4 linked regions of the Elephas maximus indicus genome follow. The protein of the gene in region 4 binds, or shares a complex with, the protein of the main gene of each other region. Links are inferred from orthologs where the notes say so. Each region holds a gene or a part of one and is shown on either strand. Other genes may lie near its edges. The genes, in order: CEP290, TMEM17, B9D1 and TMEM237.

The links.
Region 1: TMEM237 (region 4) and CEP290 share a complex: the UniProt entries of both Homo sapiens proteins name them as parts of the tectonic-like complex. The link is inferred for Elephas maximus indicus from reciprocal best matches to the Homo sapiens genes TMEM237 and CEP290.
Region 2: TMEM237 (region 4) and TMEM17 share a complex: the UniProt entries of both Homo sapiens proteins name them as parts of the tectonic-like complex. The link is inferred for Elephas maximus indicus from reciprocal best matches to the Homo sapiens genes TMEM237 and TMEM17.
Region 3: TMEM237 (region 4) and B9D1 share a complex: the UniProt entries of both Homo sapiens proteins name them as parts of the tectonic-like complex. The link is inferred for Elephas maximus indicus from reciprocal best matches to the Homo sapiens genes TMEM237 and B9D1.

What each region holds. Positions count from the first base shown.
Region 1 is NC_064822.1:151,779,473-151,787,342, forward strand, and holds the start of CEP290 (centrosomal protein of 290 kDa), read right to left. Parts: upstream 3,008-7,870; 5' UTR 2,896-3,007; exon of another isoform or gene 2,737-2,895; 5' UTR 2,520-2,736; exon of another isoform or gene 2,291-2,519; intron 2,160-2,290; exon of another isoform or gene 1,977-2,159; intron 1,427-1,976; 5' UTR 1,399-1,426; coding exon 1,297-1,398; intron 1,145-1,296; coding exon 1,067-1,144; intron 52-1,066; coding exon 1-51. UniProt on the Homo sapiens protein: Involved in early and late steps in cilia formation. Its association with CCP110 is required for inhibition of primary cilia formation by CCP110.
Region 2 is NC_064835.1:74,245,539-74,252,399, reverse strand, and holds the start of TMEM17 (transmembrane protein 17), read right to left. Parts: upstream 3,008-6,861; 5' UTR 2,664-3,007; coding exon 2,564-2,663; intron 1-2,563. UniProt on the Homo sapiens protein: Transmembrane component of the tectonic-like complex, a complex localized at the transition zone of primary cilia and acting as a barrier that prevents diffusion of transmembrane proteins between the cilia and plasma membranes.
Region 3 is NC_064820.1:213,491,717-213,499,647, reverse strand, and holds the start of B9D1 (B9 domain-containing protein 1), read right to left. Parts: upstream 3,016-7,931; 5' UTR 2,955-3,015; coding exon 2,892-2,954; intron 1,463-2,891; coding exon 1,394-1,462; intron 1-1,393. UniProt on the Homo sapiens protein: Component of the tectonic-like complex, a complex localized at the transition zone of primary cilia and acting as a barrier that prevents diffusion of transmembrane proteins between the cilia and plasma membranes.
Region 4 is NC_064824.1:100,452,212-100,460,199, reverse strand, and holds the start of TMEM237 (transmembrane protein 237), read left to right. Parts: upstream 1-4,986; 5' UTR 4,987-5,185; coding exon 5,186-5,227; exon of another isoform or gene 5,228-5,939; coding exon of another isoform or gene 5,940-5,957; intron 5,958-7,457; coding exon 7,458-7,489; intron 7,490-7,988. Other genes in the region: MPP4 (MAGUK p55 subfamily member 4), read left to right, coding at 597-731, 3,552-3,743. UniProt on the Homo sapiens protein: Component of the transition zone in primary cilia. Required for ciliogenesis.

The sequences.
Region 1 (7,870 bases), on a different chromosome or scaffold from region 4:
TCCAGCTTTTTCAACTTCTTCCAATGCTAGTTCTACTTCTTGGGCTTTCATCTAAACATTAAAAAAAAAAAAAAAAGTTATTTCAGTGTCTTAACACTAGCTATAGCCACTAAGAATAAGGATTTTGTTTTATTTACCATCCTAATTCTCAGTGCCTTCAATGCCTAACACATAGAGACATTCAGTAATTATTTGTTGAATGAATACATTAATGATTTTCTTATTGAAAATTATAGTTTCGAGATTCTTACCAGTTGGAAACACATTTGAGTCTTCTTTTTCCCTCAAGATTTATGTCAGTATTGCAACTTTTTCCTTTACAAATTTCTTTACTACTTCTTTTTTCAATTTCAGTTCTTAATTCTAACCCATTGTGTTATGTCTAGCTTCAGCATCAACTCCCTTCAATTCATCCTATGTACCAAACCCAGTTTATCCTTCCTAAGGTATATTTTTGCATCAATTGTGGTTCAAAAATGTCTAATGGCTCCTCATTGTTGATAGTTTAAAATATATCTTTAGGTCTTCCATAGCCTATAAGAAACTATCCACTAATGTCTATTTCCTCTACAATCTGCTACATGCTTTCTGCGGTTATCTCCTTCAATGTAAAGAATAAGCATATTATCTATTCTGCCTTTATTTACAGTAACCCCCAGCTCTAGAATGCCCTTGCCATCTTACCATACCCCTCTACTTTCCTAAGACTAGTTATTATCCTTTATTAGATTCCCTCAAACTTTTAAATCTCTCCCCCTCCTAACAAATTCCCATAGCAGTCATTGTCTGCATTATTCATTTGCACCTCAGCACATACTTACTTACCTTTAAACATACTCATTGTTTCCCCTATACATTCTTTTAGGAACATTACAGTACGAAACTGCAATGTTTTACACACTGAAGGCTCTCAATCACATGGAGATATTTTTGAGTGGCAATTTGTTGTGTTGTTGTATGCCATCGAGTTGATTCTGACTCATAGCAATTTAGATTTCACAAAGTACTTTCACAAAGATCATCTTATTTAAGATAGTAAAAAGTATTAAGCCTATTGGATACAAACCTTCATTAGGGACTGAGTAACTCTGAAAAGATGTATCAAGCTTTCTTGACTTTCGCTTTTTATTTCATTTATTTCCACCTAAGTAAACAAACAAACAACTTTAACCCTTAATCAAAATACAAGAACTCTTCCGGTTGCACCATTCAATGATGTCAGTGACAACTTAATCATACACATACATAAACAACAAAAAAAAATGTACATCCATGTGTTATTTATCAATTAAGCACCTTGGATAGAGAAATCAACAAATTATCTGCCAGTTCTTCTTGCCGAGGCAGGTCATCTGGGTCAACTTTCATTATATCTTTCCAGTTTATATTAGGTGGCATGTTGAATTCTTTCACCGTGCTTTACCTTCTGTAACAAAACCGGAGTATCAGATTTTCCAAAGTAAACAGCATTATTGACTCACTATAACTGCCTGAGCTAGTTAACGAAGAGCTTTTGCTGCTTAACTGCAAAACAGTTAAGTAGGCAAAATAACCCTGATCAGAACTACAGCAGACGACTAACGCAGTCAGAAGAAACTCTTGTTCCTGCTAAATAAAATATGGCAGCTTTCTGGCTAAAACTAATTCAGGTCGAGGGTAAGATTCTGGGTCCTCTGCCTCACCCTCTCCTACCACCAAAGCGCGCGCACATCCAAGGGTGCTAAGCGCAGAGGTGCAGTAAAGGCTAAAAAATGACCCCTGGCTCGCATTAGTAGTAACTGGGTACAAAAACCGCGTAAAAAAAATTGGTTACTATGAGCGCAGATGGACCGGGGAAACCAGGGCTGAAACAAAAAGAAGGCAAAAGAATTGCAGACCAGAGGTAGAAGAGACGGGGAAGCTGAGCTGTTGCAAATGGGCCCTGAGGCCAAAAACCTATGCAGAATTGTAGCTCCCGCTCACCGGGAGCCACCCACCTAGACCAAGCCTGGGATCCACCAGCGGCCCCTCATTTATCGCACGCACCAAACCGAGCCCCGCTGCCGCGCCCCGATCGCTTCTCAGCGCGGTTCCACCCGGCCTCTTGGTTCCGCCAACCGGTCCCGAGCAAGCAGAAGCGGCAGCCGCTGCTAGGCGACACCATTCCCCACCCAGCCAAGGCCAGAGCAAGGTCCCGGATGCAAGGGGAGGCTACATTTCACGGCGGTGAATGATGCTTTACGTTCAGATTCCCCGGGCGGGGGCGGGGGCGGGGGCGGGGGGGTACATCGACTCGGGGTTAAGGAGCAGGAGAAGGAGTGGGATGAAGACTCTAAATCCCGGCGTGCAGTTCTGCTCGGAAGCATGTGTACGCTGGGAGCTGAAGTCTCTGGGATGTAGGGCGTTCCCAGCGTGCAGTGCGACTATACCAGGACGGCAGGGGTAGGACCAGGAGGCTGGAGGCGCGGTGGCTGAGGCGCGTCGGCGCTGGTGGACTGAGCGAGGTAGACCATGACTGTGGCGTCGGTAGCGTCACTCACCGGGCCGCTCTTCCTGAGGTTTCCTTAAGCAGCCATCGGTGGAGCCGCTCCCAGGTGAGGTCGAGCTGTCGGTCCGCGGCGGGGGAGGGGTTGAAAGGAGCGGTCCGGATTTACAGAATCTCCTACCTTTGCGTCCGAAGGGCCCCGCCCGGATCTGAAGAGGAGTTAAGACCCCGCCTTCTCAGATGTTTGCCAGCGGCGCCCTGGGTGGTGCCTTCTGAAAAGAAAAAAGAAAAAAAAAAAAAGTTTTACCCTTTTTTGGCATCGGAATCTCTCTCCATACAGTGGAGTGGGGGCAACGCTGCCGAGACCTTGATTTGGGGTTACTGAGGAATTGAGAAGCGGACACCGCATTCTTCTGACCCTACCCCCTTACCTGTAGCACCTTTTCCTGCGCGCATTGAAGGCTCCAAGGTTAAGGAGCTAGGGTAGAGTGAAAACTCGAGAGCAAAAAGGTTAGTACCTATCCAGGCTAGTGCTGGGGTTTAGAGAGAAGAGATCTTAGTCCTGCTTCTGTCGCTTGATAACCGAGGGGGCTGCCCTTTTATGGTAGCGCTTGTCGGGCGTTCGTCGCTGCTATTCCTATTAAGTTTTGGTCCATCTCTGTGCTTTCGGCCATACTGGACTAAACAAACCAAATCTTTGCGGTTGAGTCGATTCCAACTCAGCGACTCTATAGGACAGAGTAGAACTGCCCCCATAGAGGGCCTGGTGGTTTCGAACTGCGGACCTTTTGATTAGGAGCCGTAGATCTTAACCAGTATACCATCAGGGTTTCTATTCTGCAATAAACAAAAAAAACCAAACCCACTGCCGTCGAGTCATAGCGACCCTACAGAACAGAGTAGAACTGCCCGATAGTTTCCGGGGAGTGTCTGGCGGATTCGAGCTGCCGACCTCTTCGTTAGCAGCCGTAGCACTTAACTACTACGCCACCAGGGTTTCCTATTCTGCAATAAAAAATCAATAGTAGACTGGAAATTGAAATGACTTTTCCAACTATATGGACCAGTGCTTCTCATCTGTACTTATTTTTTTATGACTGATAGTATTTTGAAGATAAATGATAGATTTCTGTCCAAACCACGTTTGGGTAATAACAAAAAATTAGCTCAGTAGAAAATAAAAACAGGTAGTGATTTTGTGAGATAAGTTTTAAAGACAAGTTTGTATTAAAAACCAAACCCACTGCCATCAAGTGGATTCCGACTCTTAGTGACCATACAGGACAGAGAAGAACTGCCCCATAGGCTGTAATCTTTAGGGAAACAGACTGCCATATCTTTCTCCCGCGGAGCAGCTGGTGGGTTCCAACTGCTGACCTTTGGGAGGAATGATAATTTTGTGTAATCCTTTACTAAAAGGTTACATGCCAAAAACTATCCATTTTCTCACTTAATTTTCATAGGAATGCAGTGAGATACGTGTTTATATTGTCCTCAGTGGTGGCGCAGTGGTTAATTAAGAGCTGGACTGGTAGCCAAAAGATTGGCAGTTGAAATCCACCAGCCAATCTTTTGGCTACCAGTACAAATCCAAAGCGAAATTGTACTTAAATGTCATAGTTTAACTGATTCTGACAATAAACTTGAAGTTGTACGCTCCACTAGGCACTGGGGATACAGCAGAAAACAAGTTAGCTAAGGCCTAGGTTCTTATGTGCTGCAGTCTCTTTGTACCTAGCTATAAAAAATCAGGAAATTTAACTCAAGTTCTAGTCCAGTCACTCAGTATGTAATTTTGAGGAAAATCGCTAAAACTCTTCATTACTTTTCATCTAATTTTCTTCATCAGTCAGTTTTCACAAAGAGAAGGGATTTATGTTTCAGTTTAATGAATGGCCTTCTTATAGGAACACTTGCTTAAAAAATAAATAAATAAATAACTTGCTTAGACCTGCCTTTTTTCTTCCTTAGGCCTTTATGAAGAATTTTTTCTGACCAAAATCACTTCATAAGAAAGATTTGCCTTTTATAATTGCTACCTCTGTTTTCTCTACCAACCAGCCTGTATTCCTTAGATGATTTTCCATATACTTTCAGCTACCTTCTCAGAAAAATAGGGTTGCTATGAGTCGGAATCAGTTCCCCGGCAACAGGTTTTTGATTTTGGTTTATCAGAAAAATGAGTGGTTGCTTACTTTCCCAGTGTCTAAAATAAAGCATGGCCATAAGAAATTTAATATCCACTGTTTATAATAAATGTTTTGTTTCGCCTTGTTCTTACGGGGAAGGATGAGTTTGCAACAAGCTGATACTTGTCTTCCCACAGCATGAGACTGGAAAGATTAGTAGGAGTCACCAGACATGCAGACTTTGCAAACTTTGCAGGCCTAACAAAGTTTTGCAGACTTTAAAAATAGAATGTAGTAGATTGCTCTTATTGAATAAGATGATATAATCACAATGGAATCCTTAACCTGGGAGAACTTTCCTTTCCAGACTAAATATTCCCAGATTCATATAAAAATTTTTATAGGTTTATTTTTTTCTGATAATTATACTGTAATAATTTTTGGATCATTGCAATGAGTGAACACTCAGTTATGTTGAAGGCATTAAATTTTGTATCTCTATAATTCATGAGTAATCTTCACTTGCAGTTCGAAGTTATTCTGTGGTTCAGGTGAAAAGGACCAGTTCTCTGGTAGAGCTGTGTCTTGGCTGTCCAGGGTCCCTTATAACAGGAATACCACAAGTGAACGTCTTTAACAGATGGCAGTTTATTCTCTCACAGTCTAGTAGACTAGAAGTCTGAATTCAGGGTACCAGCTCCAGGGGAAGGCTTTTTCTCTCTGTGGGCCCTGGAGGAAGGCCCTTGTCATCAATGTTCCGCTTGTCTAGGAGTTTCTCAGCACAGGGACCCTGAATCCAAAGGATATGCTCTGCTCCTGGCCCTACTTTTTTGGTAGTATGAGATCCCCCTCTTTCTACTCTCCTGGCTTCTCCGTTTTATGTTTTATATTTCAAAAGAGGTCGATTTAAGACACAACCTAATCTTGTGGATTGAGCCCTGTCTCCTTAACATCACTGCAGCTAATCTCACCTCATTAACATCATAGAGGTAGAATTTACAACACATAGGAGGATCAAATCAGATGACAAAATGGTGGACAATCACACAATACTGGGAATCGTGAACTAGCCAAGTTGATGCACAGTTTTGGGGGGAACACAATTCAATCCATAACAAGTTGCCCCCTGCTGAAACAGATTCATTCAAAGAAATGCTAGAATACTTGAGAAAAAATCTGCTCCCAGTAAAATTTCAGGATATAGATTTCATAAAAAATTAATTTGATAATTCTTTGAAAATGCAGTAAAGAAAAAATTTTAAATGTTAGAGAAGATAATTATATAGACTATTGGTCTCAGATATTGAAGTTCCTGGTAATAAGTATTCTTAAAGATAAGAACATAGAAAATGGAGCAATGGTAATAGGAAACGTTCATGATGAAGAAATATTTAAATTTGTATTATTAAATGTAATTAATTGTCCATTGAAGGATGTTGTTGCCAAGTGAAGGTATTTGGTTTTACAATTTGCAGTCCTCTATTTATAAACTGACTAAAAAAACCAAAAACCAAACCCATTGCCATTGAGTCTATTCTGCATCATAACAACCCTATAGCACAGAGTAGAACTGCCTATAGAGTTTCCAGGGAGTGCCTGGTTGATTTGAACTGCTGACCTTTTGGTTAGCAGCTGAACTGTTAACTACTCCACCACCAGGGTTTCCTATAAAATGATTAGTGATGTGGAAAAACAAATCATAGCTGTACAGGCAGTCCCCAGGTTACAAACATCCTATTTAAGGAAAACTCGTACTTAAGAATGGGCTGGCATAAAACCTATTATGTTAATTTGAGTTAATACAGTGGTTCATAATAACGAACGCAGGCACTACTTTGTGACGCTCATGAAAACATTGTGCTGTTTGACAGTGGTTTTTAAGTGTTTATGCATAGAAAGGTAAAATACATACTATATAGGAAAACAAACGTTTGACTAACTGATGCTCAGTAAGAACCATGTGTATCTGTTTCGACTTACCTACAAATTCAACTTAAAGACAGAAACGAATCTCGTTGTCTAACTTGGGAACTACCTATAATAAGATATATAGTGACATCCCGTTTTTGTACCAGATATAAACCAGTGATCCCAGCCACTAACATTATATGCGTGTGTGTGAATATGCTACCGTGCCTGGAAAAAAGAAAAGTTCACACAGCAAACAACAATGGTGTGTTACACTGTTATATAGTAAGTAGTCTCCCAGTGTCATGCCTTCCTCTATGCCCTTGTTAACCTCCCCCCTCCCCCACTACATACGCATATACACGCACAAACACCTCAGCTCTTGCAGTTTGTGTTTTTGGACAAAACCTAAGATGATTACACAACTAAGCTCACGAGCGTGCCCTAAAACTTTAACTTTCTCTCATATTAAGCTCCCTTGGGGAATCTTCAAAAATTCTATTGTCTTGGCCCACTAGAACCTCTGCCACATCGCTTCTGGGTTTAACTTAGTTGATTGATAGTAGCAAATTTGAAATAAGCAAAGGCTTGAAAAGAGTTTGCGCATTGGGTGGGACTTATTCTCCTATCTGCTCTAAGATCACCATTTAAAGAAGCCCAGGCTAACCTACTGGTGAATGTGATTGAGCAGAGATTAGCTTTCCAAGCTGAGACTCCTATCCTTCAGACTATCCAGCCCTAGTCCGGCCAGGGGATAACTGTAGCCTTGTTGGTGGTCCCAGTCAAGACCAGTAGAAGAACCACTCAGCTGAACCCAGCAGCCCAAATTACTGAGCCACGACATTATAAGCTTACATTTTTATTTTAGTTGTCATAATAGTTGGGGTACTTTACCAATATTTAGTGAGTAGGCATGAAGAGTGTACATCTTGCAGTGCCATCCCCTCAGTGATGATTAGCACCTCATTGATAAACAAACATGATGCTTCTTAAAACTCATCCACTCACCTGTACAGAGGTTATGAAGGGCAGAGATAATAGAATTTTAAAATTCCCCAAGGGAGCTTAATATTAGAAAAAGGGAGAGAGAGCTGGCTCTAGTGTAGGCTCATGAGCTCAGTTATGGAGTCATGTTAGGTTCTGTCCAAAAAAGCAACCTGCAGGAACAGAAGTTGGGGAAAGAGGTGTAGTTATAAATAGACCTTAGTAAGAAAAGCTGAAAATATTACCAGTTTACAAGGAGACAGTAGGGACTTTCTGATGTAGCGGGATGAACTGAAGATAAAAGAAACTTCAAGGAGCAGTCCCCAGTAATAGGGGTTTTTATTCCCAAGAACCCTAACACTCATGAAAGTCACAGCTTTGAGTA
Region 2 (6,861 bases), on a different chromosome or scaffold from region 4:
ATTAGGGTGGGATTGTAACACCACCCTTACTCAGGTCACCTCCCTGATCCAAGGTAAAGGGATTTTCCCTGGGGTGTGGCCTATACCACCTTTTATCTCTCAAGAAATAAAAGAACAGGGAAGCAAGCAGAGAGTGGGGGACCTCCTACCACCAAGAAAGCGGCACCAGGAGCACAATGCGTCCTTTGGACCCAGGGTCCCTGTGCCTGATAAGCTCCTCGACCAACCATGAGAAGACTGAGGACAAGGACTTTCCTCCAGAGCCAATAGAGACAGAAAGCCTTCCTCTGGAGCTGACGCCTTAAATTTGGACTTTTAGCCTACTGTGAGGAAATAAATTTCTCTTTGTTAAAGCCTGCCACTTGTGGTATTTCTGTTACAGCAGCACTAGATGACTAAGACAGAGTCCAACTCAGCTGGACCTCCATTCCCTGACTTTGGATGCCAGACCTGGGATATGTTATTTAACCTCTTTGAGCCTCAATTTCTTCATCTGTAAAATGTTAACATTAAACTGAGCTTGGAAACCCTGGCTGCTAACCAAAAGGTTGGCAGTTTGAATCCACCACGCGCTCCTTCGAAACCGTATGGGACATAGGTCCTATAGGGTTGCTATGAGTCAGAATTGACTCAGCGGCAACAGGTGTACAGTAAAATGACCTTACAGGGTGCTTGTGAGGATTAGAAAGAATAAAAATTATTTCACCCTAGCCCTGTGCCTGGCACTTAGTAGGCACTCAATAAAAAGTAGTACCCTTTCCTTCTCCTCTTCTACCTATACACAGGCTCATCGTGAGCACAGATCATATCCTACTCCAAACTGAAGCCCTCACAGAACCACTGTCTTGCTTTACAACAGTAAATACCAAGCACACCTAACCTGAAAGAACGAATTAACGAATTAACGGAAACAAGCTGTCATAAGGACATTACCAGTGTAGCCATTAGTGAAAAATGAGTTCCATTTATCTAAGCCTGATTACATAATACCTTTTGCTTTTATGTAAAGGAGAAAGGTCCTAAATTAAGAATTTGATTGAAAAAATTGAACCCTACAAAACGCATCCTAAAATTGACTAAATTCTAACAATCTAAGAGCGGACACATATTTTCAAATCAATTGCTCTAAATGCAGGAATTTACAAAGGTTGTAAAATAATTCTTTTAAAAAGGTGGGTTTTTTTTCCTTTTTCTCTACAACTGAGTATTTTTTAATCTGTCATTTAACAAATTTTAAGAAATAGTCATGGTCTCTCATAGCAAGAAGGGTTCACTGAGCTAGAATATGTCTGATGATTATGAACTTTTTAATAGAATTTTTATTGTGGTATTTTTTTTTAAAATTGAAGAATAATGTTTTGTGATGCATGAAACCCATAAGAAATTCAAATCACAGTGTCTACAAATAAAGTTTTATATATGCCCATTCACTTCTTGTCTGTTGTTGCCACAGAAACCACATGGCCCGCAAAGCCTAAAACTTACTACCCGGCCTTTCACAGAAAAACTTGGCTGACCCCTGATTTAAATCACTACCTTGCATAGTCAGGTTTTAGTGTCTGTTAAGCCTCAGCTTTAGTATCAGAAACGAGAAAACCTAATTTTTCATATTATGTCTTTCTCTGTACCTCCCAAATCATAAAGAGGCCTAAAATTTGGGGGAACAGGCAAGTGATCAATGTGACAAACTGCAACTATGGAAACTGCTTTTCTTTGCCACCTTAAAAAAAAAAAATCCTTAAAACCAGTCAGAAGAAAAAGTTTCTATTTCTGAACAGAGTTCAGTGATGAAAACCGAATGGGTTTGGTCAGACAGGATGGTATCTGTCATCAAGATTAGGAGGAAACTGTTTTGGAGGAAACTGCGTTATCACTTGTCATCCTGTTGAATGCAGCACCGTGACTTTGTTACCAGATTTAGGAAAAGAGCTATATATAGTGGAGGAGGAGAAGGCAGGGAAGGGGACAAGTCGAAGGCCGTCTACTGTGGCAGCTGCCACTCTGAAGTGAACAAAGGTTTAAAATGACTCATTAAAAAATGTTTCTTTCATCTCTTCTGCTGGAAAACGTACTTGTGGAGGAAGATGCTTGTCCTGCGGGGAAGAGAGAAAAGGCAAAGGTATTTCCCAGGAGGGCGGGGGTAATGATAACGCCACTTGGGTTGTTTCCCCCGATCCTACCCAGAAAACCTGGGCAGGCGCAGAGGAAAATCAACGTCGGCCTTCGCAAAGGCGCGGGACCCAGCACACGGGGAAGGCAGCTTTTTAATTTTTTTTTTTTTAAGTCTCCTCGCAGGCAGTGCTGCGCCTCATACGACACAAAGGCCCGCGCCAAATCTGCTGCGGCGCTTGCGACGCGCCTCCCGGGCCACAGCGTGAGCCGACCTGGACTGGACCGCGGTCGGGGCCCGGCCCAGCCAAGAAGCCAAAGCGCTCCGCGCACCACGGTGACCTAGCTGAAGGCGGAATCGCCATCTTAGGTGCGGGCAAAATCTGGCTGCTCAAAAAACCCGCGTCAGGCCCTAGGCGGGCCACACCCTCTGCGCTGGGCTTCGGCCACTCACCCGGACCCTCGGTGTACTCCGGCCCGGTCCGGTTGGAGTCGCTGAACACGGTCCGGCTGAAGTTTCCCAGCCGCTGGCGGACCGGATCCGGCAGCTCCATGCTTGGGCCTCAGTACCCCTCGCCCCTCAGATACAGTCGAGTCTGCGGGCGCCGTGGCGCTCTGCGGTCCCCATGGCAACCGGGCGGCGCGAGACGTGGCGGGGCCTGGACACGCGCTCAGGGCGGCACTGCAGGGGCCGAGTCTGCCGAGCCGAGTGTGCGGGTCGCAGCCTGCGCGTGGTGGAGGAGGTGTGTGGAGAGCGCCGCGGTGGTGTTCCGAACGGCAGATTCTTTAGTCCCGTTTAAGCTCCACCATCTTCAAAAACAACAGCCTAATAAGAATAAATGATCTGGGGTTGAATTGTGATGCAAGGATTCCTCACACCTTGCCAGCGTCTGTAAATCGGTGCAATTTTCCTGAAGGGAAATACAGACCGGATGCAGAGCTTAGAGAATGTTCGTGACCCAGTAGCTCCTCTTCTAGGAATTTTATATGTATATACATATGTGTATACATATATGTAATAATGTGCACTGATTAAAAAAAATAATTTGTTTAATAAAAATTATAAATTACGAAAATATGCAACAATGGGGAACTGATTAAATGTATTAGAGCACATACATTCGATGAAGCGCATTGCAGCAGCTTATAAATAACATTGCTGCGAAGAATATTTGATGATATGGATTGACTTGAAAAAAAAAAGTACAGTGAAATAGGAAAGAATGTAATTTAGCAAAATTTGTGTGTAAATGGGGAGCGGGGGAAGGAGAGAGGGCTTGCACACTGGTTAAAAAAAAAGACTGGAAAAAATTACAGAATGTTAACAATGTTATTTCTGGATGGGGGATTCTGGGTGATTTCAACAAGAAAGTTTCTTTAAATATTTCTGTATTTTCCAGCTTTCTCTCAAATAAGATGTATTACTTTAAGTTTTTGTTTTTTAATTAAAATATAATATGTACGTATATAAAAAAATAAAAATAATTTTTTTTTTTATACATACAGAAAAGGACACAAACTGAATTTACACGTGTGTTTAGTAACCGGAGCAAATAGAACCTTACCGGCGCTGTCCTTTTCAGTCACTAAGCTCCCCACTAACCTTTCCCGATCTGTAATAGCATAGAATAATTTCCTGTTTTTATAGTTTATATAAAAGGAACCCTATAGTAAGCACTTTTTTGAGGAGCCCTGGTGGTGCAGGTTAAAGCACTCAGCTGTTAACTGAAAGGTGGGCGGTTCTAACCGCCCTCTGCTCCCCTGGAGATAAATGTGACAGTCCGCTTCCATAAAGATTAAAAAAAAATTTGGAAACCCTGTGGGGCAGTTATACTGTCTTTTAGGGTCACTATGAGAATCGACTCCACTGCAGTGGGTTTTAGGTGCTTTACTTTTTTTTTTTTTTCCGGATCTGGCTCGTGGCCTTCTACGTTCGTTGTTTTTTGTAAAATTCATTTACATGGTTGAGTATGTGTAGTTTCGTTCTCTTTGTGGTGTGTGGCCGTACCACAATGTGTTTATACATTTTACTGTTGACGAACATCTGCGTATGTTTTTCTAGTTTGGGACTGTTATGTTTGGATTTGTGTTGGAGTGGAATTGCTGGGTCATAGGATATGACCCAGCTTTAGTAAACACTCCCAAGCGGTTTTCTAAAGTGGTTGTACCAATTTCTGCTGCCTCCAGCAATGTATGAGCATTCCTGTTGCTGCATATCCTTCACCAACACTTGTTATTTTCCACCCATTTCCTTTTAGCTCTTCTAATGGTTGTGTGGCGAACGGTATTATTATTATTTTTTACAAACAAAAGGAAAACCACATATGTTTATTTAAATGTCAAGAGGAAGGTATGGGAGGAAATGCTAACTTTGTGGCTAGAATTTCATTTTAATTCAACAGATGTTTATTGCATTCCTACTAGTATTGCTTTCCTACAAGGCATTGTACTAGACTAATTAGGAATATAATTCCTCCTCTCAGGAAGCTCAACCCAGTGAGAGGGAGAGATGGAAACAAATAAATACCGTACACTGCTGTAAGTGCTTTAATAAAGGAATGCTGATGAGGAAGTGATTAATTCTGCCAGAGGTCTCAGCTGTCAGGGAAAAACTCACTAATCTGTTTCTCTTTAAGATGTAGCTGAGGCCTCACCACCTCCAAAGATACTCCCAGGATCTCCCTGAAGCTGGCCTAGGTGCCCTCCTCTGTTTCCCAAAGCATTCTTTACTTACTTTAGTCAAGGTGCTGGTCACGCTGTTCATTGTCTGTTCATGTGCCTGCTTCTCTTGCGAGTCCACAAGCTCTTTGAGGTCAGGAATGGGCTTTCATCTGTGTATCTCCCAACACTAGCACAATGCCTGGCCTAGAGTGGGGGCTAGATGCCTGTTGAGTGATAAATAGAAATAAAAGGCCTAATGACCACTCCTATATCTTCCCGGTTCTAGTTAGAGCAACCTCTGCAGTTAACCAGCCTTTGTAAAGCCTACTCTATACGGTGGAGAATTGGTATATTAAAACACAGTGAATTAAAGCAACCAGAAATTAAAAAAAATTTAGCAACAAAGAATCACTTTTTAGCTAATACATGAGCCAAAACTTTCAAAAAGGGTGCAGTAAAGCGAGCTGTTGGGCTGTGGTGGAAAGAATGCCCTTGAAAGCAGAGAGCAGGGTTCAAGTCTCCTAAAATTCTCACTCTATCACCTAATAGTTGTGCGATTGATTTCAGGTTCTTATTTTGTAAAATAGGAATAATGATAATCTTTTTTTTTTCTTTATTGTGCTTTAAGTGAAAGTTTACAAATCAATTCAGCCTCTCGTATAAAAAGTTATATACACCTTGTATATGCTCCTAGCTGCTCTCTCCCTAAAGAGACAGCACACTCCTTCTCTCCACCCTCTATTTCCGTGTCCATTCAGCCAGCTTCTGTCACCCTCTGCCTTCTCATCTCCCCTCCAGACAGGAGCTGGCCACATAGCCTTATGTGTAGAATCTCATTCCTCACCAGTATCGTTTTCTGTCTTATAGTCCAGTCCAATCCCTGTTTGAAGAGTTGGCTTTGGGAATGGTTCCAGTCTTGGGCTAACAGAAGGTCTGGGGACCATTACCTCCGGGTCCTTCTAGTCTCAGTCAGACCATTAATTCTGGTCTTTTGATGAGAATTTGGGGTCTGCATCCCACTGCTCTCCTGCTCCCTCAGGAGTTCTCTGTTGTGTTCCTGTCAGGGCAGTCATCGATGGTAGCTGGGCACCAGCTAGTTCTTCTGGTCTCAGTCTGATGTAGTCTCTGATTTATGTGGTCCTTTCTGTCTCTTGGGCTCATAATTACCTTGTGTCTTTGGTGTTCTTCATTTTCCTTAGCTCCAGGTGAGTTGAGACCAACTGATGCATCTTAGATGGCTGCTTGCTAGAGTTTAAGACCTCGGAGGCCACTCCCCAAGGTGGGATGCAGAATATTTTCTTAATAGATTTTACTATGCCAATTGACCTAGATATCCCCTGAAACCATGGCCCCCAAACCCCCGCCCCTGCCACTCTGGCCTTCGAAGCATTCAGTTCATTCAGGAAACTTTTGGTTTAGTCCAGTTGTACTGACCTCTCCTGTATTGTGTGTTGTCTTTTCCTTCACCTAAAATAGTTCTTGTCTACTATCTGATTAGTGAATACCCGTCTCCCTCCCTCCTTCCCCACTCTTGTAACAATCAAATAATATTTTCTTCTGTGTTTAAACTATTTCTTGAGTTCTTATAATAGTGGTTTCATACATTATTTGTCCTTTTGCAACTAATTTCACTCAGCATAATGCCTTTCAGATTCTTCCACGTTATGAAATGTTTCACAGACTCATCACTGTTCTTTATTGATGCCTTGTTTTCCATTCTGTGAATATACCATAGTTTATTTGTCCATTCGTCCATTGATGGGCACCTTGGTTGCTTCCATCTTTTTGCTATTGTATACAGTGCTGCAATGAACATGGGTGTGCATATATCTGCCCGTGTAAAGGCTCTTAATTCTCTAGGATCTATTCCAAGGACTGGGATTGCTGGATCATATGGTAGTTCCATTTCTAGTTTTTTAAGGAAGTGCCAAATCGGTTTCCATAGTGGTTGTACCATTTTACATTCCCACCAGCAGTGTATAAGTGTTCCAGTCTCTCCACAACCTCTCCAACATTTATTATTTTGTGTTTTTTGGATTAATGCCAGCCTTGTTGGAGTGAGATGGGATCTCATTGTAGTTTTGATTTGAA
Region 3 (7,931 bases), on a different chromosome or scaffold from region 4:
GGATTTCCTAGTCTGCAGTCTTTACAGGAGCAGATCTCCAGGTCTCTTCTACCACAGAGCCACTGGGTGGGTTCAAACCACCAATCTTTCAGTTCACAGGCAAGCACTTAACCATTGTGCCACCAGGACTCCTTCTGGCCTCTTTACTGCTCCTCAAAAGGCTCTCCTGCCACAGAGAGAGCCTTTCTTTGCACTTTTTGCTCCCTCTGCCTGGATGGTTCTTTCCATAGATTTCCACATGGCTTGTTCCCTCACTTCCTTCAGGTGTTTATTCAAAAGCTACCTTCTCAGTGAGGCCTTCCCTGACCACCATGTCTAGATTCCTAAACCCAAACCAGTCACTGTCAAATCAATTCCGACTCAAGGTAATTCCATGATATCAACCTCCCTCTTTGCCTTCATACCCTCCCCCCATTTCTGACTTTGTTTTCCCTACAGAACTTATTACTAACAAACTAGAATATTTACTATTTATTATTTTCTGTCTACCTACACAAGAATGTGTACTCCAGGAAGACAGGGACTTTTGTCTGGTTTTGTTCACCTCTGTATCCTTAGCACCCAGAAAACAAACAAAAAAAAAAAACCAAACCCATTGCCGTTGAGTCAATTCAATTCATAGTGACTCTATATGAAAGAGAACTGCCCCATAGAGTTTCCAAGGAGTGCCTGGTGGATCTGAACTGCCAACTTTTTGGTTAGCAGCTGTAGCACTTAACCACTATGCCACCAGGGTTTCCCAGAAGACTCTCAATATTTATTCGATAAATAAGTGAATGGAAAAAAAGTACTGTCATCTTAGTTGTACAGATGAGGAAATGGGAGACTCAGAAAAGTTATCTAAGCTGGGCTTCCATTTCCCTAACTGCTGTGAGGTATAAACAAGTGCTGTGCAAAGAGTAAAGTATGTGCAAACTGAAGACATCACTATAATCCCTCTCCTGGTGGAGAGACTGTTCTCTAGGAAGCCTAGGAAGTGAGAGATCCTGTTCTGTCTTGTGACTCTCCAAAGTCCTCCCCATGGTCTAAGGAGAGGCCAAATGACGAGGGACTGGCCCAAAGTATCTACAGCTCATCCCTTCCAAGTTGGCACTCTGGAGCCTGCCTGCTGCATTGCACCTGTGTTCCTCTTTGCCACCTGCTGCCACACATAAGCTCACAGGACAGGGTACCTGAGTGAGAATAGTCTGGCGGTGGGGGTTTATTTGGTAGCCCAATTGTGGCTGTGTTCTCCAACTCCAGCTTTATCAAAAACAAACTCACGTTTGTTTCCAAACTCTGTCTCCCTCTAACTTGGTTCTGAGCTGGGAGGGGAAGGGGTATAATGGACACCTTCAGAAACCCCAATAATCACGAATGCTGTCAGCGAGGGAGGCCCAAGAGTTCAGCTTACCGCCGTGGGAGCCCAGTCCTGCCCGTACACGAAACAGTACTTGCAGTAGAGGTCGTCATACTCTGGAAACTGGAAAAAAGCACACGTGAATTCTGTTTACTGGGACTCATGTTGAGGCCCACCAACATGTCGGCTAGGCAGGTGCAGCCAAAAGGACTTCTGAACATGAGGCACCTGGGCCAGGGCCCAAGAGCCAGTTGGACACATGGATATGGCGTTCAGCAGAGAGGGCTGAGGACTGAACTGTGGGAGTCCAGAGGAGGGTTCCCAGCTGCTACAGCCCCTGGGCCTTTGCTCAGGCTCTGCTTTCTGTCTGATATGCTCTTCCCACTCCTTCATCTGGAAAACTGCTGCTCATCCTTCAAAACTTACCCTCCTGAAAGCCTGCCCTCTTGTCCAGGTTCCTTCAGCACCTGGGCTTTCCTCCATCAAAGCACTGATTGCCTGTCTGTTTGCCAACCCATTAGATTGTGCATAGGAAGCACAGGGTGGGCACAGAGAAGGTCTAAGGGGATAACGCCGAAGTGAAAGGTCTGAGAACCAGGAAGCCATCAGGACACATGTCATGAGGAAAGACCCAGCCCTGCTGAGAGCCCCTGATGGGATAGAACAGGAGAAAGGCAGAAGACAGCATCAGGTGCTAGACCAAGGGGGAGGTGGCAGGATGGGTGCATGGGGCAGAAGCATCCATGAGGAAACTGAAGGTAGGAAACACCTAGTAAGTATCAGGCCCTGGGCACAACTTTACCTAAAACATCTCATTTAATCTTCACATATAAACACCATTTCCAATACCCCATAAGGTCACTGCTAAGGTGTAGCAAAGCTTTGAAGTCAGACAGACCTGGATTCAAACCCCAGCTCTGTCACTTGTAACACAGGGATGTTAATAACACCCATCTCACAGTGTTGTTGTGCTGAATGAATGGGAAGGGCTAAGGGCCACGTCTGGTGCAGAGTGAATACCTGACACACATTGGCTTTTATTATGATTATTAACGTTTTTATAAAGTGTTGGGAGGTGGGGAGTAGCGTCCCTTTGGTATGACAGACACACCTCCCTGGATGATTCCTGGCCACCACCACCGTCGTTGGCTAGGGTTACCCAAATCATCCCCACTCCAGTCTGAGTTCCATGATCTGAGGCTCACAGACGCCCCGACTCGGTCACGGGCGGAGGAGGCCTGTGCGCCGGCCCAGTTGCCCCAGTGACGCCCCGTGAAGCTCCTGCCCGTGATTCAACAAGGCCAGGGGTCAGAGGCTTGACCAAGCGTCCCCCTGGCACGAGCTCAGCCTCTGCAAGCCTCAATTTCCACGCTGCGCATTAGGAACGCCTAGCATCGTTGCGCCGAGCCCCTCACACGCCGGTTTTCCTCCCCCGCCTCACCAAGGGAGACAGAAGCTCCGAGGAACGACAGGCCTCGCTGGACCGCAACGCAGCCGGAGGGGCCGAGGGGCGTATCCCCGGGGGAGGCTGGGGAGGGTCCCGGTCGCTCACCTGGGCGCTCTCCACCTGCCCGTTGACCATGAGTAGGAAGACGCTGGGACCCGGCGCCGCCATGGCAGCGCGGGGGGCACCGGGAGCCGACCCTGGTTGCAGCGCGGTTGCTAAGAGGCGCTGAGGTTACCTTGGAAACAGACGGCGTGGCGCGCGGGACATATTTCTTCACTAGTGCGCGTGCGTGGTATTGCGCAGGCGCAGTTAGCGGACGCTGCCGGGAGAGTCGAGGAGGGTACCGTGGGGCTCAATGTGCTGGGACTACGGTGTCGCCGCCTATCAGTGCGAGGCGGGGGCCAGGTGCCTAGGACAGGGTCGGCTACCTGGGCTCTGGAGGGACGTTACCGAGCTGAGGCCAGGCAGCGCCCCACATCGGGCTAAGGTGGTACCCGCTTGTGTTTTTAAACTCTCCTCCCAAAAATGTTTATTAAACAAACTAAGCCACCACTTCTGAAACTAGGGAAACTGAGGCCCACAGAGGGGCAGTGCCTGGGACTAGAGCAGAATCTCCGACCTGTGAGGCTCTGCTCAAATGACAGTTCCTCTTAGGCCTCTCTCGTCCTCTTGCCGTTAACCATGGTTTCTGTTTGTACGTTTATTGAGACTCATAATTTGGGCCAATGCTTATCTCCCCCTCTAGACTGCCAGCTGCATGAATATGGAGACTGTCAGTCTGGTATCCCCATTGCCTGACACATAGCAAGCACACAATAAATACTTGCTAAATGAATGAATAATTGAATATGTCCCCATTTTACAGAGTAGGAAACAGATTCAGAGAAGGAAGGTGACTTGGGCAAAATCACAGCAGTGGAGGCCCTGGTGGCGTCGTGGTTAAGAGCTAACCATAAGGTTGGCAGTTCAAATTCATCAGGCATTCCTTGGAAACTTTATGGGGCAGTCCTACTCTGTCCTTTAGGGTCACCATGAGTCAGAATCAACTCGACAGCAACAGGTTTGCTTTTTGGTTTTAGGTGGCTGAGCCAGGACGCAAACTCACAGCTCCACAGACTAGAGACCCTCACCGCCCCCTCTGCCTTGTCCTGGGTCACTTCTTGGCTCAGCATCTGAAGTGGCATTAGAGACCTCCCAAATCCAGGAAATGAAAGGATGCACAGGAGTGTAGACTTTGGGAAGCCAGACCCTGAGTGGGCTGCCAGGTCACCACCCTGCTCAACAGCCAGCTGCCAGCTTAGGAGCACACAAGGGGGCTCCTGTCAGTCACTGGTGGAGGAGAGGGAAGGATAGGTTACAGCCCAACCAGCTGAAGCCCTGACCCCAGGTAAACAAAGATACCTGATTGGGGAGAGGGGGCTGTGGGTAACCAGGGTTTATTCATGTGATAGAGGCTGGGAGCTGCAACAGGTGGGGGCTGCACAAGTAGGAGCTGTTCAGTTCCTGGGCACTTGGCCGCACACCACCCCACCCCATGTCACACCCTGTCTCTTCCTTGTTAATATGCTTTCTCTGACAAATTTTACCAGTCTTGCCCAACTCCTTCCCTTCTGTGACCTTTGAGACTCAGGACTGTGCCAAAGTTAGTTTGCAGCTAAATGCTTGAGATGATCAAATAACCAGGGGGCTTCTGTGCTTTAAAACCTGGCCATGCCAAAGCCTACTTCACATTTGAATAGGACACAAAAGGGGGACTTCCCCCAAGGGACAGGGGCCTCTGGGGTGGCCACCAGAGGTGCAGAGAAGCCCAGCTCCCTGGGTGTTGGTGAATGGGAGATCCCAGGGTAATGTGGAGTCTACTCTCTTTAGGAGGAACTGGAGGGAGTGTTAAGGGATCTTAGGGGTTTGTTCAGGGCTCAGCTGGAGTCGTTACCACAAGTTCAGGTGGACCAGCTGGGGCCTGGTGCACTGAGAGCCCTCAAGTAGGCTGACATCCAGGGTGGGACAGTCAGGCTGGAGGCGAAAAGTGTCTTTGCAGTTGCTGGGGGACAGTGGCCTCAGCAGCACACTGTGCAGCTCTAGGGGTGGGGCATACGGGTCTGTGTGGGGATGGGGGCCCTCAGCCGATGTGCCCAATATGGCTGTACTGGTGGTTAATGGATTGAGATGCTTCTCCACCAGTGGGCACATAGCTCCTGCCCTGGTCTCCCTGCCCCAGGATGTGCCTCCTGGCTTCTACTCCTCGACTTTCCTCTTCTACGTCACCCAGCACAACCCTGCCCTCCACTGGACTCCTGCCTCACAATCTCCTCAAGCTCATGCGATCTTGAGCACCCTGGGGCAGGGAGTTTGGGGGACAAGCTGTTGCCTGGTAGGTGTCAGACATCCAGGCTGGAAGCTGACTCAGCAGAGCAGGAGGTCAGTGCCACCCTCCTCTGCAGCCCCCAGCACCACCCTGTCTGTACACCTCCCCAGGCCAGTATCCTCTGGCCCCCAACCATCCCATGCTTCCTCTCTCATCCTCACCAAAATCAGACTAAAATCCTTGGGCCCAGCAGGGAGGCCAGGAGCCAGAGAAAGCTCGGGAACCTCAGCATCCAGCAGCACAACGGAATAACGGGGTCCATGGTAGGTGGTCTGGGGTCCAGGGTAGAACCCAAGGCAGGCTTCAGGGGTTACTATCCCCAGCCTGTCCCCAGCTTACTAAGTCACTGCCCTACTCTAGGCCTCCATGTAGTCATAATAAGAGGAGGGTGATGCCTGGATGACCTCATTCTCCTGTTAAGTTGGGCCTAGGCCTGGGAAGGTCTGGGGGAATCTCTGGCTCTCTGAATCCTGCCTCAGGGGCTGTACCTTTCCCCTTTGCCCATGAAATTCAAGGGAGGAAATGCATGCAGAGGCTTCTTCCAGGGGTAAACTGGCCAAGGGAGCTGTAGAGAAGTGAGTCAGACAGCCCTCGGCTCCAATCCAGACTGCCCCTCACAAGCTGTGTGACCTTGGGCTGAGGATCTAATTTATCTAAGTCTCAGCTTCTGAGGAAATGGGGATTATAAGGCCCCTGCCTACCAGGTTTTAGTCAGTGGTAGCAACAATCTCCCATGAAGATGATGGGAATGCATTTGGAGTCCAGCTTGTATTGCTGAAAAACACTGTAGATATTTAAAAACCATTTGTCCTTTCTGAATGACGCTATAAACAAACCAGACTTAATAAACATATGTAGAAAATTCCACCCTAAAACAGCACAATATACACTCTACTCCAGTGCACATGGATCATTCTCCAGGATAAACCACATTTTAGATTATAAAGCAAGTCTGGATATATTTTAAAGAATTGAAATCATACTTTCTCTGAAATCATATTTTCTCTGACCATAACAGAGTGAAACCAGAAATCAACAACAGGAAAAACCCTGGAAAAAACACAAACATATGGAAATTAAACAACACACTGTTAAAGTACCAATGGGTCAAGGAAGAAATCAAAAGAGAAGTCACAAATTTCTTAGAATCAAATGAAAATGAAAGCACAACATATCAAAACTTAGGAGTTGCAGCAAAGACAGTACTCAGAGGGAAACTTGTATCAGTAAATGTCTACATAAAAAAAGAAAAATGTTTTCAAATTAACAGCATAACTAGACAAGCTCAGGAACTAGAAACAGAAGAGCACGCTAAGCCTAAACCTACCAGAAGAACGGAAATGATAAAGACCAGAAATAAAAAAACAGAAAAACAACAGAGACAATCAATAAAACCAGAAGATGTTTCTTTGAAAACATCAATAAAATTGACAATCTTTTAGCTAGACAGACAAAGAAAAGATGCAAATAACCAAAATAAAAAAATGAGAGAGAGGACATTACAACTGACCTGATAGAAATAAAGAGAATTATGACTGAATATTATGAACAACTGTATGGCAACAAACTGGATAACCTGGATGAGATGGACAAATTCTTAGATGCACACAACCTTCCCCAACTGACTCAAGAGGAAATAGAAAGCCTCAACAGACTCATACAAATGAAGAGACTGAATCAGTGATCAAAAACCTCCCCCCACCCCCGAAAAAAAGTTCCGGACCAGATGGCTTCACTGTGGAATTCTACCAAACATTTAGAGAAGAATTCACACTACTGCTTTTTAAACTCTTCCAAAAGATAGAAAAGGAAGGAATGCTCCCCAATTCATTCTATGAAGCAAACATAACCCTGATACCCAAACCAAAGACACCACAAGAAAAGAACACTACAGACTAATATCTCTTACGAATATACATGCAAAAATCCTCAACAAAATACTAGCAAACAGAATCCAAGAACATATTAAGAGTCATACACTGTGACCAAGTGGGGTTTATTCCAGGAATGCAGGGATGGTTCAGCATTAGAGAATCAGTCAACATAGTATACCATTTCAATAGAACAAAGGAAAAGAACCACATGACCGTCTCTATGGATGCAAAAAAACATTTGATAAAATCCAACAGCCTTTCTTCATGACAATTCTAAAGATTGGAATAGAAAGAAAATTCCTCAATATGATTCAGGGCATATATGAAAAGCCAAGAGGCAATATTATACTCAATGGAGAAAGACTGAGAGCTTTCCTCTTGAAATTGGGAATGAGACAAGGGTGCCCGCTCTCACCACTTCTATTCAGTATTGTATTAGAAGTCCTAGCCAGAGCAATAAGAAAAAGAAATAAAACGTATCTAAATTAGACAAGAAGAAGTAAAATTATCTCTATTCACGAATGATATGATCCTATATATAGAAAATCCCAAAGAGTCCACAAGAAAACTTCCAGAGCTAATAGAGATATTTAGCAAAGTTGCAGGGTACAAGGTCAACACACAAAAATCAGTTAGGTTTCTATACACCAGCAATGAGAAATCTGAATGAGAAATTAGGGAAACAATTCCATTTACAATAGCATCTAAGAGAATAAAATACTTAAGAATAAATTTAACCAGGGATGTAAAGGATTTATGCAATGAAAACTATAAAATACTGCTGAAAGAGATTAAAGAGGACTTAAATTAATGGAAGGATGTTCTATGTTCATGGTTTGGAAGACAATATTGTTAAGATGTCAGAACTACCCAAAATGATCTATAGATTCCACGCAATCGCAATCA
Region 4 (7,988 bases):
CTTGATGAGAGAATAAGACATTGTTTTACACCAGAATGCAAGGTTCTCAGTTCATATGTAGACTGGAGCACAAGTGAACAAGTTAAGTAAGATAAGGGGCATACAATGTGTAGGTCAAACTTTTATGATCCTTGTATTTTCTTTGTGCTTTCCTTAAAATGTGCTTAATAAAGGAAAGACAGACTTGGGTCAAAGCTGGTGGTCAGTGTGAAGATGGCAGGAGTATCTAATGTGAGGTAACAGAAAGAGGAAAGGGAAGGGAGGTGAAACAGAGCTGATCCACCCTGAAAATCTGCCTTTGTCTTTGTGCCTTGAGATCATGTATAGAATCCTACTCTCAGATTTCAATAAAGGATACCATAGCTAGTAAGTGGAAGAGCCAAAATTTGAACTTCGTGTTCATTCTAGAGCACCACCTCCTGACTATTAAAATTTTTGTTTGTTTTTTAAGAGTTGAGGACTTGGGGGGAAGATGAGAATATACTCCAGCTAAAAATAATTGCTAATTTCTGGTCTTAGAAATTTAGAGAATATGCATATCAACTCTAGGAAATTTGGACTTCTGTTTTAAATGTGCATTTAATTTTTCTGTATAGGGTATTCAAGTGGCTCGAACCCAAGAACTGAAGCCCTATGTCATCTTTATAAAGCCATCTAACTTGAGTTGTATGCAGCTATCTCGGAAAAATGCCAAGATCATTACAGACTACTTTGTGGAGATGAAGTTCAAGGTAAGATACAGAGGAAGTGGTTGATTGTATTTTTTTCTAGTTAAAAATCACAGTACTGTTCCCAGAGGATTCCTGTGTTAAGGAATGTAACATTTCTAATACATAATATCCTCAACATCACTTACAGATGTTAAAATAAGTTTAATAATGCTATGATGCTAACTTTCCTTTTTTTATTTCCCCCTTTTTTGATGGAAGGTCCCAAAGCCAGTTTGCAAAAGTCTGACTCTTTTACACAGAAATTAGGTGTGCACAAGCCTGATATTTGTATTTTAAGAGGATTAGTTATAAGAAAGTTTACTTTAAAATGTCATAGTGAATATTTTTGCCCATTCCCAAGAAAGGTGATCTGACCGAATGTGGAAATTATTGAACAATATCATTACTATCACATGCAAGTAAAATTTTGCTGAAGATCATTCAAATGTGGATGCGGCAGTATATCAACAGGGAACTGCCAGAAACTCAAGTCAGATTCAGAAGAGGATGTGGAGCCAGGGATATCATTGCTGATGTCAGATGGATCCTGGCTGAAAGCAGAGAATACCAGAAAGATGTTTACCTATGTTTTCTTGACTATGCAAAGGCATTCAACTGTGTGAATCATAACAAATTATGGATAACATTGCGAAGAATGGGAATTCCAGAACACTTAATTGTGCTCATGAGGATCCTGTACATAGATCAAGAGACAGTCATTTGAACAGAACAAGGGGATACTTCGTGGTTTAAAGTCAGGAAAGGTGTATGTCAGGGTTGTACCCTTTCACCATACTTATTCAATCTGTATGCTGAGCAAATAATCAGAGAACCTGGACTGTAGGAAGAGAACAGGGCATCAGGATTGCAGGAAGAATCAATAACAATCTGTGTTATGCAGACGACACAACCTGGCTTGCTGAAAATGAAGAGGATTTGAAGTACTTAACTGATGAAGATCAAAGACTACACCCTTCAGTATGGATTGCACCTCAACATAAAGAAAACAAAAATCCTCACAATTGGACCAATAAGCAACATCATGATAAATGCAGAACAGTGAAGCTGTCAAGTGTCAGGGATTGAACTGCATCCCCCCAAAACATCTGTCAACTTAGCTAGGTCATGATTCCCAGTATTGTATGACTGTCTACCATTTTATCATCTGATGTGATTTCCCTATGTGTTATAAATGTTATCACTATGATGTAATAATATGGATTAGCTGCAGCTTTACTGATGAGATCTATAAGATTAGATACTCCCTTAAGCCAACCTCTTTTGAGAAATAAAAGAGAAAAGCCAACAGAGAGACATGGGAGCTCATACCACCAAGAAACAGTGCCAGGAGCAGACTGTGTCCTTTGGACATGAGGTTCCTGCACAGAAAAGCTCACAGGCCAAGGGAAGATTGATGACAGGGACCTTCCTCCAGAGCAGAGAAAGCCTTCACCTGGAGCTGGCACCCTGATTTGGACTTGTAGCCTACTAGACTGTGAGAGAATAAATATCTCTTTATTAAAGCCATCCACTTGTTTTTGTTTTACTTGGATCCACAATCAACAGCCATGGAAGCAGCACTCGAGACATCAAAAGATGCATTGCATTGGGCAAAACTGCTGCAAAAGACCGCTTTAAAGTGTTAAAAAGCAAAGATGTCACCTTGAGGACTGAGGTACACCTAACCCGAGCCATGGTGTTTTCAATCTCCTCATATGCATGTGAAAGCTGGATGATGAATAAGGAAGACAGAAGAAGAACTGATGCCTTTGAATTGGGGTGTTGGTGAAGAATATCAACTACACCATGGGCTGCCAGAAGAACGAACAAATCTGTCTTGGAATAAGTACAACCAGAATGCTCCTTAGAAGCAAGGATGGCAAGACTACATCTCACATACTTTGGACATGCTATCGGGAGGGATCAGTCCCTGGAAAAGGACATCATGCTTGGTAAAGTAGAGGATCAGCGAAAAAGAGGAAGACCCTCAATGAGATGGATTGACACAGTGGCTGCAACAATGGGCTCAAGCATAACAACGTTTGTGAGGATGGCCAGGACTGGGCAGTGTTTTGTTCTGTTGTGCGTAGGGTCACTGTGAGTTGGCACCAACTCTACAGCACCTAACAACAACAACAACATAGTGAATATACTTTGTGTGTAATATCAGGTATCTTACTACCTTACTTCTCATTATTTTTGTTTTTACATTTTTTCAATGACTGTTTTATAAAACTCTGATTCTCTAGAATGCAGTTAGTTCAGTGAAGTTTATGGGTGCACTTCAGAGTAAAAAAAAAAAAATTGGGGGGAATTTAAAATTGTGTTCTCATTTCGATGGCTGTCTAAGCAAATTAATAAAATTGTTCTGGGCCATGTGTATGGCCACCTTGTCAAGGGGTACTTTCACAAAATTTTAGCGCCTGTATTTGCATTTGTGTTTATGATTGCATTGGCAACAAGTACCACTACTTTAGTTGTCATGAGCAAATAAGAAAATAACAGCAATAAATTTAATTACTATCCTTATGGATGTGACCATTTTCTATCTGCAAGATAACATCATTCTTATCAGGTTAATGTTCTTTTAAATTTTAAGTTAAAATTTTATTTATATTTAATTGATAAATTTGCTTTGGTTTTATGTTGTATATGGTTTGAAAGCTTCAAGTGTTTAGGTAATAAAATAAATTTAAGTCCAGGTGGGAAGCTGAGTGGTCATTTATTTGACCTGGTTTTTTATAAATAGCTTCTCAACCAATGTGACAGCATAACATACTGTATATTAATTCTATTTGTCTCATTCAATGTCTTATGCGTATTTTTCTATTTCTCCTGAAGGATGAAGACTTACAAGAGATGGAGGATTTAGCCCAAAAAATGGAGGCCCAGTTTGGCCAGTACTTTGATCATGTGATAGTGAATGACAACTTGCAAGATGCATGCGTCCAGTTGTTGTCAGTAGTAAGGAAAGCTCAGGAAGAGCCTCAGTGGGTCCCAGCAACATGGATTTTCTCTGATACCACATCTTAGGGAGGCCTCCTGCTTAATGCTGGAGTTTTAACAATGTACCTTGGTGATAGATACCTGGAATAATAGCTGTAATATAAAATAGCGCTATTTGACCCATTGTAATGCGTGCGACTTTAAAAGTGCGACTCGACGGCAGTGGTATAGTTTATTAATTAATCTTATTTAAAAATAAATGTGTATTGTATGGGTATGTAGACTGGCTTTTGGGAAACTTGTTTTTCCTTCACCTCCTATGCAATGTAGGAACATGAATGTGAAAATATCAAGTCACTAAACCTGAGAACCTTTCATTTATTTCATATGGCTTTTATAGGATTCAGATTGAAAAAGCTTTTCCTAAATAAAATTAGCAGGATTTCATTTCAGAAACTGTGTTTTACTACATAAACCTTGCTTCATGAAAAAGTGTTTGTCATTGTGCTTTTTACAAAAAGTGCCTATTTGACTAACTCAGCAAGAGAAGTTAATATATGTATTTCACACCTAACATCAAAACCTCAGAAACTGCATTGCCTCCATTATCTACAAATCAATCCACAAGGAAGATTATTCTTCTGATCACAAGTGTCCCAAACATTAATCTTCCTAAAAGCCAGTATCCACCTTTATACCTAAATTGCTGACCTTTTGATTAACAGCCGAGTTCTTAACCACTGAACCACCAGGGCTCCATGCCTAAATTAAAACAACAACAAAAAAACCCAAACCCAGTGCAGTGGAGTGGATTCCCACTCATAGCGACCCTATAGGACAGAGTGGAACTGCCCCACAGCGTTTCCAAGAAGTGGCTGGTGGATTCAAACTACCCACCTTTTGGTTAGCAGCTGAGCTCTTAAACACCACACCATGCCTCAATTAGGAAAGGCCAATTGGTCCAAAAGACCAATATACAAGAAAACCACAAGATGGAGATGTTATTCCAAGAAGTCTTGTTTTTCTTTCTTTTCCCTGGGCCTGTGACTTCAGTCGCTCTCCCTGTCCCTGTATTAGTTTATCTTATGCATCATTCTCCCCTTTCTCCATATTCATACCATTCCTCCACCCATCCCATCGCTTTCTTCATCAAAACCTTTAAGAAAATTAAATTTTAAGGATACTTAACTGAGTCCAGATTTGATTTTATGTTGTGGTTCGCTGAGAAAGCAAAGGGTTGGCCGACACCCACACCCTCCCGCACTGCAACTGTGGGCGGGGCCGGGGGGGGCAGGGAATGAGGGGGTAAACGCGCCCGTCCCTGACTCCGCCGGCCGGGAATGCTAGCTTCCCCTCGGAACGCCAGGCGGAGCCGGGCCGAGACGGGCGGAGTCCGGGCCCCAGGGGCGGCGGCCTAGTCAGGCCGCTCCGAAGCCCCCGCCTCTAGCAAGTCGCGGAGGCCGGCGCGGCGGGGAGCCAGGCTCCGGCCCGCGGCAGTTGCGCCCAGGGAGCCCCGTGGGGAGAGGACCATGAGCCCCGAACGGAGGTCTCAGCTGGAGGCGAACCACCGGGTGAGCGGGAAGGGTGCGAAGGCCACGAGAGGTGGAGGGTGGGCCCCTTCACCGAGCAGCCGCCCCAGGGGCGGGGCCGACGCCAGCCGATTAGGGAACAAATGGGGGGGTACTGGTCGTGGGGTGCGTGCATCTGCCCCTTCGTCGCTCGGAGGATTGGGGCGGGGGCTGGAAGTTCGTTCTGAGGAGGCCGGGACCCCCGATTGCTGGAGCCAGGCGGGAAGCCGTAGGAGTCGGAGCGCCCGCGTTGCCAGGACGACACGGTACTTGGCCGCCGTGACTGTCGCGGGTTTCGGTGCTGCCAGCCAGGTCCCTCCGGGAGGGCGCTCTTTCACCCTGTTTCGGAAGAGCTGTATACAAGCGGAGGCTTTTAATCATGGTCTTCTCTCACGTCCCCCAAACAAATCACCGCAACCACTCGAGAAACCACAGGGAAGACTGATTGCCGACCCATGTCCGCCGGAGTCTCTCCTCCCGAGCACGTCAGCCCTTCCCTCGACGCCCCTTTTCCCGCTGGAGTGGATTGGAAGTGTTAGACCTGACCAGGCCCCTCGCTTCACCCCCACTAAACCCCTGAGGTAGCTGTAGGCCGGGAGCGGCCGCCCGCGCAGCCCGATGACGCGAGTGCGCCTGCGCGCGCGGCCCGGCCGGGCTGGGGTGTGAACGCGGGGCGCGCGGCAGCGGCCGAGCGAGCGTCCGGCTTTTACACAGAATGGGAAAGAAGCAGGTGGTAAGCGAGGCCTAGTTACATTTATTTATTTGGGTTATTAAGATTCTGTCTTCAGCCGCCTTACGTTTGAGGGGCTTACAAGTTGGGTCTCTAGATGAGTGAAATGTCATTTTTGCCGGACTTTTGAAATGTGAAGTTACCGAGTGAGCTGGGTCCTTGAATAGAACGCGATCCTCAGAACGATAATGCTTTCATTTGTCTTTTTTTCCAGTTGTAATTTTGACTGGATAGTACTACGACATTATAGCATTTGAATCAATATGCTGTTTGAACGAGTGGATTGCTAGTGGAACAGTCGTGGAACCAACTACAAGAGTGTCTAAAATTCAACCCTTTTGATTCATTGTCCTCTGCAAGCAGCATGAGATCATAGGAACATTAAATTCATTTCTAGGCATGTCTCTTACTCTTTTATTTTGAAAGATTCCAGAATGCTTCTTTGATGTAACGCTCTCTGGATCGCAAACAACTTTTCTTATTCATGTAAAACAGCATTTATAAGTCTCTCCCCCCACCCCCTTTCAATTTTCGCTGCCTTGACACCCATTCTTCACGCTGTGTTCAGCATTCAGAGTGATTTTTTAAAAAGCACGTTACTACGTGGCTTAAAACTTCCATTGGCTTCCTGTTAAATTAAAATTCAGATTCTTTCCCCTGGTCCCACTTAATCTGTCCCCTACCTACCTCACCTTGGTAACCATACTTGCAGCCTTGCTGGCCTTCATTTTTACCTGAAACGTTCAAATGCACCAGAACTTGGAACTGTAACCCTCTGCTTGAAATGTTTGTTGGATCCTTTGCATTCAGGCTTCAGTTCAAGTATCTCAGACTTGCTTCCACCAGAAGTAGCACCTCACATCCTCCCTCATTCACTCTCTTATTACTCTGTTATTTATTTTTTTTCTTCTGGTACTTGGCCACTAGAACATAGGTCCACAAGAGCAAGGATATCTCTGTTTTGTTCATTAGTGTATCCCCAACCCTAAGAACAAAGCCTGGCCTGTAGATAGAAAGGAATGAAAAAATTTTATGTGACATTCAGAAATGGTGGAATAAATTTTAAAAAGCCCCTCTCATTCTCATTACTACCTCCCAGGTTTTTACTGATGGACAGGGTTATCAGATCTGAAAATACTAGCCTGATGCATTATATTTTTCTGTCATGTTTGAACAACATGGTTTTTATTTTTTAAGAATGATGTCTTCATGAAATTGAAGCCATTTAAAAAAAAAAAATTGGAGCCCTGGTGATGCAGTGGTTAAGAGATTGGCTGCCAACCAAAAAGGTTGGCAGTTCGAATCTACCAGCCGCTCCTTGGAAACCTTATGGGGCAATTCTACTCTGTCCTGTAAGGTCATCACGAGTCAGAATCGACTCGATGGCAACGGGTTTGGGTTTTGTGTGTGTGTGTGCGTGTGTTTGTTTTCATGGTATTGTACAGAAAGTAAAGATGATCGCAGCTTTTATGGACAAGCAGTTTTTTCATTTCTCCCTTCCAGCGTCCTCCACGTGCCCTTCCACCTGTGCCAAGGTAAAAATAATTTTCACTAATCATTATTGGACTTTAAAAGTACAAAATGGATAAAAGTAAAAAAATTAACTAGTATTATTGCAAAATTATAATGATTTAGAAAAGACTTCTTAAAATTTATATGAAAAGGATTCCTAAATTTTTAAGGATAGGAAATCTTTGAATCACTTGGATAAGAGTTATAATTAAATGTTTGATTTAAAAGCCCAAATGTTAACATGATATAATAATGCTTCCATTCTGAATGTTTTTAGTGTCTTGTTTATCAGAATTGTTTATGAGAATGTGTATTGGAATTCTGATGTTCTTTTGTTTGCTAGAATAGTTTCCTCAGAGTTTAAGCTGATTTTATCACTGAGGAAATAAGAGTTCTTAATCTACTTAATCCGCTTTACTAACAGACTGAAGGGAATGTGTATGTAGGTTCATAACATTGGGGTTATTTTATTAGCAGTCTTATTAAACAGCTTATTATTGGTAAATGATAACTAGTTTGTAA